Linked DNA regions of Xenopus tropicalis. The protein of the gene in region 1 binds, or shares a complex with, the protein of each later gene. Links are inferred from orthologs where the notes say so. Each region holds a gene or a part of one and is shown in the gene's direction. Other genes may lie near its edges.

Region 1 (4,582 bases):
ACTCTTTAGAGACAGGAGACTTAGGGCAGGGGTACACGGGAAGATTAGTCGCCCCGCGACAAATCTCCATTCTCACGGGCAACTAATCTCCCCATAATGCCATCCCACCGGTTAGAATGTAAATTGCTGGTGGGATGGCATACGTGGCGCCGCAATGTCGCCCGAAGTTTCCTCTCAAGGCGCGTCTAATCTACCTGTGTGTTACTGCCCTTAAGATCAGCAATGTCCAAACGTATTTTGAAGAAACATGACGGTAACGCACATTTTACTTTTCAGATTATTGACAGGCCATCTTTTCAGATAAGGATCTAGAGAGGAGACTGTTAAGGCAAGAGGCTTTTTGGATCTATAACTTGAATTCCCTGGAGTTCCAGGGTGGGATGAATAGGGAATGGGAGTTATCCTGTTTCTATTGAGAATTGTATAAATGGGGTTAACTTTTTGATTCTCCCTCCATTATATTTGGGTCCTCCTAACTATAAGTATTTCTATTTTGCTATCCTTATTTGTACTTCTTTTATGTATATTGTGTGGTGTGTAAGGGTTCATGTAGTCTATATCAGGGGGCTCAAACTCAATTTACCTGGGGGCCGCAGGAGGCAAAGTCAGGATGAGGCTGGGCCGCATAAGGGATTTCACAAAAAATTGGCTTTCAAGGGATAATGCAAGGCACGGCGGGAGCTGCTGATTGCGGAAATGACGTTATGCCATAACAGTTATTATGGGAAGATGTTCTGTGTGCACAATTAGCTCCTTAGCAGCTGTGCACACAGAATGTCTTCCCATAATAACTGTTATGATGGCATAATGTCATTTCCGCAATCAGCAGCTCCCGCCCGCCGTGCCTTGCATTATCCCTTGAATCGCAATAAAAATCGCGATCCATTCGTTGCTTTTGAGAAGGCGTTGGTGCGGGCCACAAAATACTGTACTGAGGGCCGCGAGTTTGAGACCCCTGGTCTATATAGTCCAACTAGTCTTTTGACTAGTTGGATTATATAAGCCCCTCCCACTTACGGGCTGATAATGCTTCTGAGGCCATGAAACGCGTTAAGCGTAGCTCCATGGCTGTACATATAGGTTTTTACATATAGGATTGAATAAAAATGACTGTTTTTTAATCCAGCTCTTTTTTTTGGTGCATTTTTTCTATTTCCTGCCACTAAACATCTGTCGTGGTTTGTACAAAGCCATCCAATGACTTGGGCTCAGTAAAGCTGCGCTGCTAGCACTACAGCCTGCCGAGCGGCGGCCACATGACTAAGCAGATTGGAAGCGCTAAACTTCTCTTTCAGCTGTTGAAAGACTACAACACCCAGAATGCCTTTGGGGAGCTCTAACCACAGCAGCAGTCGCCTTTTCCATTTCTACAATAAAATAAAAAGTATCGTACTTTTCAACTACCCTTCAGCTCGCCATAGTGTAATAATGACTCAGTACGGAAAGGGAACACTCTCACCCCACAGTGTGAGGACTTGGCTAATGGGCCCGCCCTTTCATTGGCTCTACCTAATAGGACGCACCCCCTCTCCCCCACAACCCTTAGCGGCACTCCTTAGGCGCAGCAAGTCCCCTCACAACAACCAATAGGTTTCCGGGACGTACAACTAGATCCGGCAGATATCCGTGCGCAGCAGAGCCACACCTCCTCAGCCCCATTCTTCCCTCTGACACAAGCGCGCTCGAATCCCTCCGCGCCACGCTTGCTCACTCCGGCAGCCCGCCTGAGCTCTGTGACCCGGCACCGCCCGCATGGAGCTCGTCACCATCCTCGAAAAGACCGTGTCTCCGGGTACGGGCGGCTGGTTATTGGGGGTATTATTGTGTGGGATAACAGTGAGGGGAGGGGGGCAGCAGGGAAATGCATGGGGATCCCCAATAGAGCGGCAGGGCCCTGAACCCATGTCTACCCTTCTTTTCCCTCAGACCGCAATGAGTTGGAGGCGGCGCAGAAGTTCCTGGAGCAAGCTGCAGTCGAGAATCTGGTGAGAAATGATAGAAGTTGGGCTTGAGAAGGAAGCCGGGTAGGGAGGCACCATGACAGCCACACGGAGCCTTAGGTTGGCCGTGCCGGCTCTCCCACTACATTAAACGCATGCAGGAAACAGCGACACTTATAAAAAGAGTCCCACTATCAAAGTAGCCACCAAGCTGGCAGGGGGCATGCTGGGAGTTTATTTGGACTTATTAGGCCTGGGGGGTAATCGTTCTCTGATAACCCCCGCAGCACATAGGAAGCCGGGAATTGCTGGGACTGCCACTGCCAGTAGGTCGCCAGCTGTTCTGAAATGGCTAGCGCTGTGGTGCCCGGCCAGGCCTCAGTGAAAAGCGCCAAGACTGGCGCAGCCTAACTTGCCCGCCACCCTGCGCTAGCCAATGGGGAGGCGCGGAGCCATTTAGCCGGGTCTAATTCGGCCAATGAGAAAGCGAGAAGAGGGAGCGGCGAGGGGGGCGGTGGTAAAGCACGTTGCGTTGCACAGCTATGTGGGGCTAATGGGGCTCCTTGTGGCATCGCATGATGTCGCATTTGGGCTGCTCTGTGCGTGTTGTGTGATTTTCCTGTGCTGACAAATTGCATTTTTTTGCAGTCCTTGGAGAATGTACAGAACTCAGTGTAGGTGCAGTGTGACATGCCACATTCCTGTCATTGTGAGCTTCCTTGTATTGCAATAAATGTCGTTAAACCCTGCAAACTAAATGCTTGCTTCCTGTTTCAAGGTATTCTCTAAGTACCAAATGTTTTGTATTGCTTTGCCATGAAGCTGACATGTTACTGTTTTCTTCAAAACTGACCTGCGCTTAAAGGAACAGTAACACCAAAAAAATGTATATATTTTCAAGAAATTAAACTATACTGTATTGCTGCCCTGGTAAAAATTGTATGTTTGCTTCAGAAACATTACTAGAGTTTATATAAACCCTGGTGTGTAGCCATGGGGGCAGCCATTCAAAAGAAGAAAAGGCACAGGTTATATAGCAGCTAACAGATAAACTCTGTAGAATACAATGGTGTCTTATCTGTTATTTGCTATGTAACCTGTGACTTTTTTCCAGCTTGAATGGCTGCCCCCAGGGCTACTCAGCAGTGTATTTATATAAAATATAGTAGTGTTCCTGAAGCAAACACCCGAGTTTTACTAGTGCAGGGCAACAGTACGTTATATTTCAATTACTTTAAAACACTTTCATTTTTTGGTGTTACTGTTCCTTTAAGTTTTTGAAATGTTAGGAAAGGATCTCGGGAAACAAGTGGTGCCAATGGCTGCCATCTTTACTTGGCAAAGACCAGGCTGGGGGTGGGGGGCAGGGTTTAATACAGGGGTGCACAAAAGGTAGATCACGGTCTACCGGTAGACCTCAAGGTGGAATGCAGTGGGATGACATCCCGCCACTTCCCCCCCCCCCCCCCCCAGCATACTGAAGCTTTCAAGTGCGACTGCTCAAGCCGTCTTTGTAGTTTCATCCCAGTATAGAAGATTGTCCCCACTGGGCCACTGTATATATTTGTTCCCACTTCATATATGTTTCTGTGTGCAGACTACAAAGTGGGCCATAAGGAAGGGAAGTAAAAACTACTACAATCCTTTCACATTAAACTTGAAGTTGGCACGTGAATAATGTTATGTGGGCATTAAATGTGAATTTGGCACTGCATTTATATATTGCTATGTGTATTTGTTAAACATCCATTGATATTTCTGTTGCTTATTGTGCCAAATGATAGACGTTGCACTATTTTAACTGTGGTAGAGCTCATGACTGAGGCCAGGTGGGAAGAGTAGATCACAGAGTGACAAAATCTGGGCACCACTGGTTTAATAGAACCATCATGTACCTTTCCTCATGCCAGAATTCATCTCTTACCTCCATGTCACTTTGTTTTTATAATAACAATCACTTAAAGTGGCCTTGCATAGGCTAAAAAAAAAAGCTACTGACTTTTAGATCAGTTTATCCACTTAGGGCAGTGGCACACGTGGAGATTAATTGGCCAGTGTCAAATCTCCCGGCAATGCCATCCCACTGGCTAGAATGTAAATCGCCGGTGGGATGGCATATGCGTCGCTGCAGTGTCCCAAAGTTTCCTTTCAAGACAATTTCGGCCGATTTCGGGACATTGCAGAAATGCGTATTCCATCCTGCCGGCGATTTACATTCTAGCTGGTGGGATGGCATTGCGGGGGATTAGTCGCCCATAACAATGAAGATTTGTCGCGGGGCGACTAATCTCACTGTGTCCCGCTGCCCTTCTTGGTCTGTATATGGTGTCCTCAAGAGACCTACCCAAATAAAGTTTTCCCTGAAAATTGTCCAGCATGTTGATGTCTCCTTAGGTCACACAGAATGATCCAATTTCTGGTCCCTTGTTGGATCAGCCAGTTAAATGTCTGACCTGCCCAATTGGCTACGAAAAATTAGAAGTGTTGTGTATGTTAAGTGAAAAGGTAGAGATTGGACAAAAGGTAGCGCTTATATAAGTCAGTCAGATAACTGCAAAACAAGTCTGTGCTGTATGGGCAGGATTCTATTTGAATAGCAAGATACTTTGCCTCATTTGACTGATTGTGCTAATGAGTGAATC
Region 2 (4,547 bases), on another chromosome or scaffold:
AATAAAACAGTACCTGTACTTGATCCCAACTAAGATATAATTACCCCTTATTGGGGGCAGAACAGCCCTATTGGGTTTATTTCATGGTTAAATGATTCCCTTTTCTCTGTAATAATAAAACAGTACCTGTACTTGATCCCAACTAAGATATAATTACCCCTTATTGGGGGCAGAACAGCCCTATTGGGTTTATTTAATGGTTAAATGATTCCCTTTTCTCTGTAATAATAAAACAGTACCTGTACTTGATCCCAACTAAGATATAATTACCCCTTATTGGGGGCAGAACAGCCCTATTGGGTTTATTTAATGGTTAAATGATTCCCTTTTCTCTGTAATAATAAAACAGTACCTGTACTTGATCCCAACTAAGATATAATTACCCCTTATTGGGGGCAGAACAGCCCTATTGGGTTTATTTAATGGTTAAATGATTCCCTTTTCTCTGTAATAATAAAACAGTACCTGTACTTGATCCCAACTAAGATATAATTACCCCTTATTGGGGGCAGAACAGCCCTATTGGGTTTATTTAATGGTTAAATGATTCCCTTTTCTCTGTAATAATAAAACAGTACCTGTACTTGATCCCAACTAAGATATAATTACCCCTTATTGGGGGCAGAACAGCCCTATTGGGTTTATTTAATGGTTAAATGATTCCCTTTTCTCTGTAATAATAAAACAGTACCTGTACTTGATCCCAACTAAGATATAATTACCCCTTATTGGGGGCAGAACAGCCCTATTGGGTTTATTTCATGGTTAAATGATTCCCTTTTCTCTATAATAATAAAACAGTACCTGTACTTGAAGCGAGAGCATGGGGACTGGTTGCCCTTATACTGAAGAAACAGTACAGAATATTTAATTGATTACATTTAGAAAGTTTCTTATTTCATATTAAATTTGCCCTTTAAAGGGACATGATCTTTAAAAACACAAATAGGATGCTTTCACCCTTATTTACATTATATATAGGTTATGGCCACTTTTACACTTCTATATTTCTGACACAGAAGCCCAAGCTGCCCATATACAGGCCAATATAACGCCCCTCAGGACCAACTCCTTATTTTATTTTATTAACGCCTACTGCATCCCAGCAGCAGTCACAGTTTACATTCCCTGGCAGTCAAGCAGTTAATGAGGCCTGACAGCGCTGACTCAAACACAATAAATAAACCCGCTGGCATTAAGACATTGCACCCCCGGCCAAACACCAACGGACTATGCCGGAATTTGTGTGAAAGTTGTATCTGTGTTGTAGAAAGCTAGTTGGTCCTCTTGGCCTATCAGTGCAGCAGGACTAATGCCGTGCAATGTCCTATCCCCACAGGCGGAGGGCAGTATCGGAGCACCAGTATCTCCACGACAAAGGCCGGGCCATCCAAGAGCTGCGGCGCAGGATATTCCTCCAGAACCTGATGGGCCGAGTGAACACGGCGGGACTGCACGCGCCACCGGACGAGGCCTTGCTCCCCGCCACCAGCGTGAAGAACTACAACACCCTGCGCACGGTGGCAGAAGAAGAGGGGGCCACCACGCACCTGACTCAGGAGACACAGAAATCACTGAGCTACAAGGAGCCCTCTCCGAAAACCCACGGCAAGAAGAAAAAAGGCAAGCCGGGAAAGCGCAAAGACCAGGATAAGAGGAAGAGACAGGAGCGCTCAGCGCTGGAAAGTCTGCAAGACCCACCGGGATCGGCTTTTTGGTTGGAAGAATTAGATTACAGGTAATGGTGTCAACTTGGTCTTCAAGGTGGGGATATCGAGAGAAGATCCGCTCGCTTGGCGACCTCGCCAAGCGAGCGGATCTTCACGTGTATGGCCACCTTTAGATTATTCCTATCTCGGGTTGCCACCTTTGTAGAGTCAAAGTGGTCAAAAATAGAGTCTTGTCTGGATTTCACACCTATAAAATAACTTTAAAGGAGAAGTAAAGGTAAAAACCACAGGGCCGCTCCTGCCATGAAGCAAAGGAGAACCTTGGCCTTGGCAGTAGGAAGATGCCAGTTACCAGGGGCGGCAAAAAGTCACCCGAATATTTGTTATTTGGCTCCCCCCAGGGATTTTTTACTTTCCTTCTCCATTAAGGCTGCACCACCACCTTTTTACTTGCTATACAGGCATTGGTTAGGGCATTGGTTGGGACATTGGTAGGGGCATTGGTTAGGGCATTGGTTGGGGCATTGGTTGGGACGTTGGTTGGGACATTGGTTGGGGCATTGGTTGGGGCATTGGTTGGGACATTGGTTGGGGCATTGGTTAGGGCATTGGTTGGGGCATTGGTTGGGACATTGGTTGGGACATTGGTTGGGACATTGGTTGGGACATTGGTTGGGGCATTGGTTGGGACATTGGTTGGGGCATTGGTTGGGACATTGGTTGGGGCATTGGTTGGGGCATTGGCTGGGACATTGGTCGGGGCATTGGTCGGGACATTGGTCGGGGCATTGGTTGGGGCATTGGTCGGGGCATTGGTCGGGGCATTGGTCGGGGCATTGATTGGGGCATTGGTTGGGGCATTGGTCGGGGCATTGGTCGGGACATTGGTCGGGGCATTGGTTGGGGCATTGGTTAGGGCATTGGTTGGGGCATTGGTTAGGGCATTGGTTGGGGCATTGGTTGGGGCATTGGTTGGGACATTGGTTGGGGCATTGGTTGGGACATTGGTTGGGACATTGGTTGGGGCATTGGTTGGGACATTGGTTGGGGCATTGGTTGGGACATTGGTTGGGGCATTGGTTGGGACATTGGTTGGGACATTGGTTGGGGCATTGGTTGGGACATTGGTTGGGGCATTGGTTGGGGCATTGGTTGGGGATGGCCCAAGTAAATCCCTAGGAAAATCGAAGTAGACAATGGTGCAACACCCTAATGAAAAGTACCCCGTTTAGTGCCGACGCAGGCTTCCCTTGTGCTTTTGGGGGATAAAAATGACACCCAAGGCATTTTGATGTCCAACCATTAAAAATCATTCTTTGAATTCATTAGGAAAATATTTCCAAAAAGAATTTTAAAAAAATCATCCTCTGTAACTATGCTTATACCATAGCGCCACCTTGTGGTGGTAAAGAGCACAGACTCTATTTTTGGCTCAATGAAAAAAAAATACCAAATGAATTGCCCCCAGATCTATCGCCCGAGAGGGCTCGGCGGCCGCACACGTTTGGTTAAATTAATGCCTTTCTTTTCCCTTCTTTCTCTGCAGGACGCAGTGAATATTTGACTGGAGAATACTTGCATTTTGGAGAAAATCGGAAATATAAAAAAAAAAAAAAAGACGTGCGTCAGAGAATATTCTGGATCCGTACATACGAGCTGTATTTATTATCATCCACGTGCGCTGTCCCTTCCCGCCATTTGTAAAACTGCACAGTCGCATTTCGGCGGCCTCCCCCCTCCCCCCCCCCGTCTCTTATTTATTGGTTGAATTATGTATTTATTGTTTGACCCTTGTGCTGCTGCCCTCCTTTTTATAAATGTTGCACTTTACGTTCAAAAAACTCGCAGAAAATCCTTGATTTTTTTTTTTCTATTTTTTGATATTGAAACCGATATAGCATTTTGTGCATGTAGAAAAATGTGGTATAATTTGTACAGAATTGTGTAATAAATCCGGTGTAAAAAAAAAAAAAAAGAAAAGAAAAACGAAAAAAAAAAAAACCGTTATGTCTGATTTCGGACGCCCAGTGACATTCCAGTAGCCCGACGACTCCTGGTCAGCTTTGCTGTATCTGTAACCTAAACATCTGGATACAGTGGCCTCTGTCCTATAAATAAAGTTCTTTTCTCTCGGGCCCTTACATGGCTTTGTATTGTTTTGTTTTTGTGTATCTTCTTATGTTCAGGTCCGGACTGGCAATCCATGGTTTCTGGCAAATGCCAGAGGGGCTACTGCAGAATGACATAGACAGTCACTATTCAGTGGGCTGGTTGGGCAGGGCCGGAACTAGGGGTAGGTAGAAGAGGTACAACGGTGGGGGGGTGCCAGGCAGGTACCTTTTCTTCTACCTACCACCGGTTCCAGACCCTTTCCCCCCAATGTGCAGCGGCCCCGGTAACCTCTTCCTGTAGACCTGTGCCCTGTGTGCGCATTGGAGGGTGTTGGCGGCCCAAGCCAACCGGGTTGCTTAGGGCGCCTGGCCGGCTTGGCCTGGCACTGTGGTTGGGGTATATTTGGGCCTCTATGTACTTGAAATGTCAGGGAATATTTTAAAACCCAGTCCAGACCTGTGTTCATCCATGGCCAAACCTTGGTTTACCCAAACCAGAGTCAGACTGGGTCGGAAAGATCCAACCCTTGCCGGCACTCCCTCTGCCCAACCGTTCTTCTACTGACACATTAAATTTACACACGCTCAAGGTAGGACGTTGGGTGGGGGACCCTGCAGCGGGTTAGGGGGGCCCCTGCATGGGGGGATTAGGGGATGCAGCCGGCGGGGGCACCTGTAGGGCCCCCATAGCAGGAGCCACGGTGGGCCCTGCACCCCCCAGTCCAACCCTGACCCAAACCCTGTTACACTACAAGACTACAACTCT

The links.
Region 2: the proteins of kpnb1 (region 1) and pthlh are in contact, whole or in part, in a crystal structure (PDB 1M5N), measured with the Homo sapiens proteins. The link is inferred for Xenopus tropicalis from reciprocal best matches to the Homo sapiens genes KPNB1 and PTHLH. Residues at the interface, in NP_002256.2 of Homo sapiens: Val55, Tyr104, Pro106, Gln111, Glu152, Tyr156, Gln159, Asn196, Leu199, Asn200, Gln239, Glu274, Gln278, Glu281, Asp288, Ile295, Ser298, Glu299, Asp339, Asp340, Trp342, Val350, Met353, Glu395, Trp430, Arg434, Glu437, Asn469, Trp472; in NP_945316.1 of Homo sapiens: Tyr103, Thr105, Gln106, Glu107, Thr108, Asn109, Lys110, Val111, Glu112, Thr113, Tyr114, Lys120, Thr121, Pro122, Gly123, Lys124, Lys125, Lys126, Lys127, Lys129.

Annotation. Positions count from the first base shown.
Region 1 is NC_030686.2:10,834,531-10,839,112, reverse strand, and holds the start of kpnb1 (importin subunit beta-1), read left to right. Parts: upstream 1-1,562; 5' UTR 1,563-1,752; coding exon 1,753-1,792; intron 1,793-1,926; coding exon 1,927-1,985; intron 1,986-4,582.
Region 2 is NC_030679.2:10,530,002-10,534,548, reverse strand, and holds the end of pthlh (parathyroid hormone-related protein), read left to right. Parts: intron 1-1,339; coding exon 1,340-1,738; intron 1,739-3,216; coding exon 3,217-3,226; 3' UTR 3,227-3,811; downstream 3,812-4,547. UniProt on the Homo sapiens protein: Neuroendocrine peptide which is a critical regulator of cellular and organ growth, development, migration, differentiation and survival and of epithelial calcium ion transport.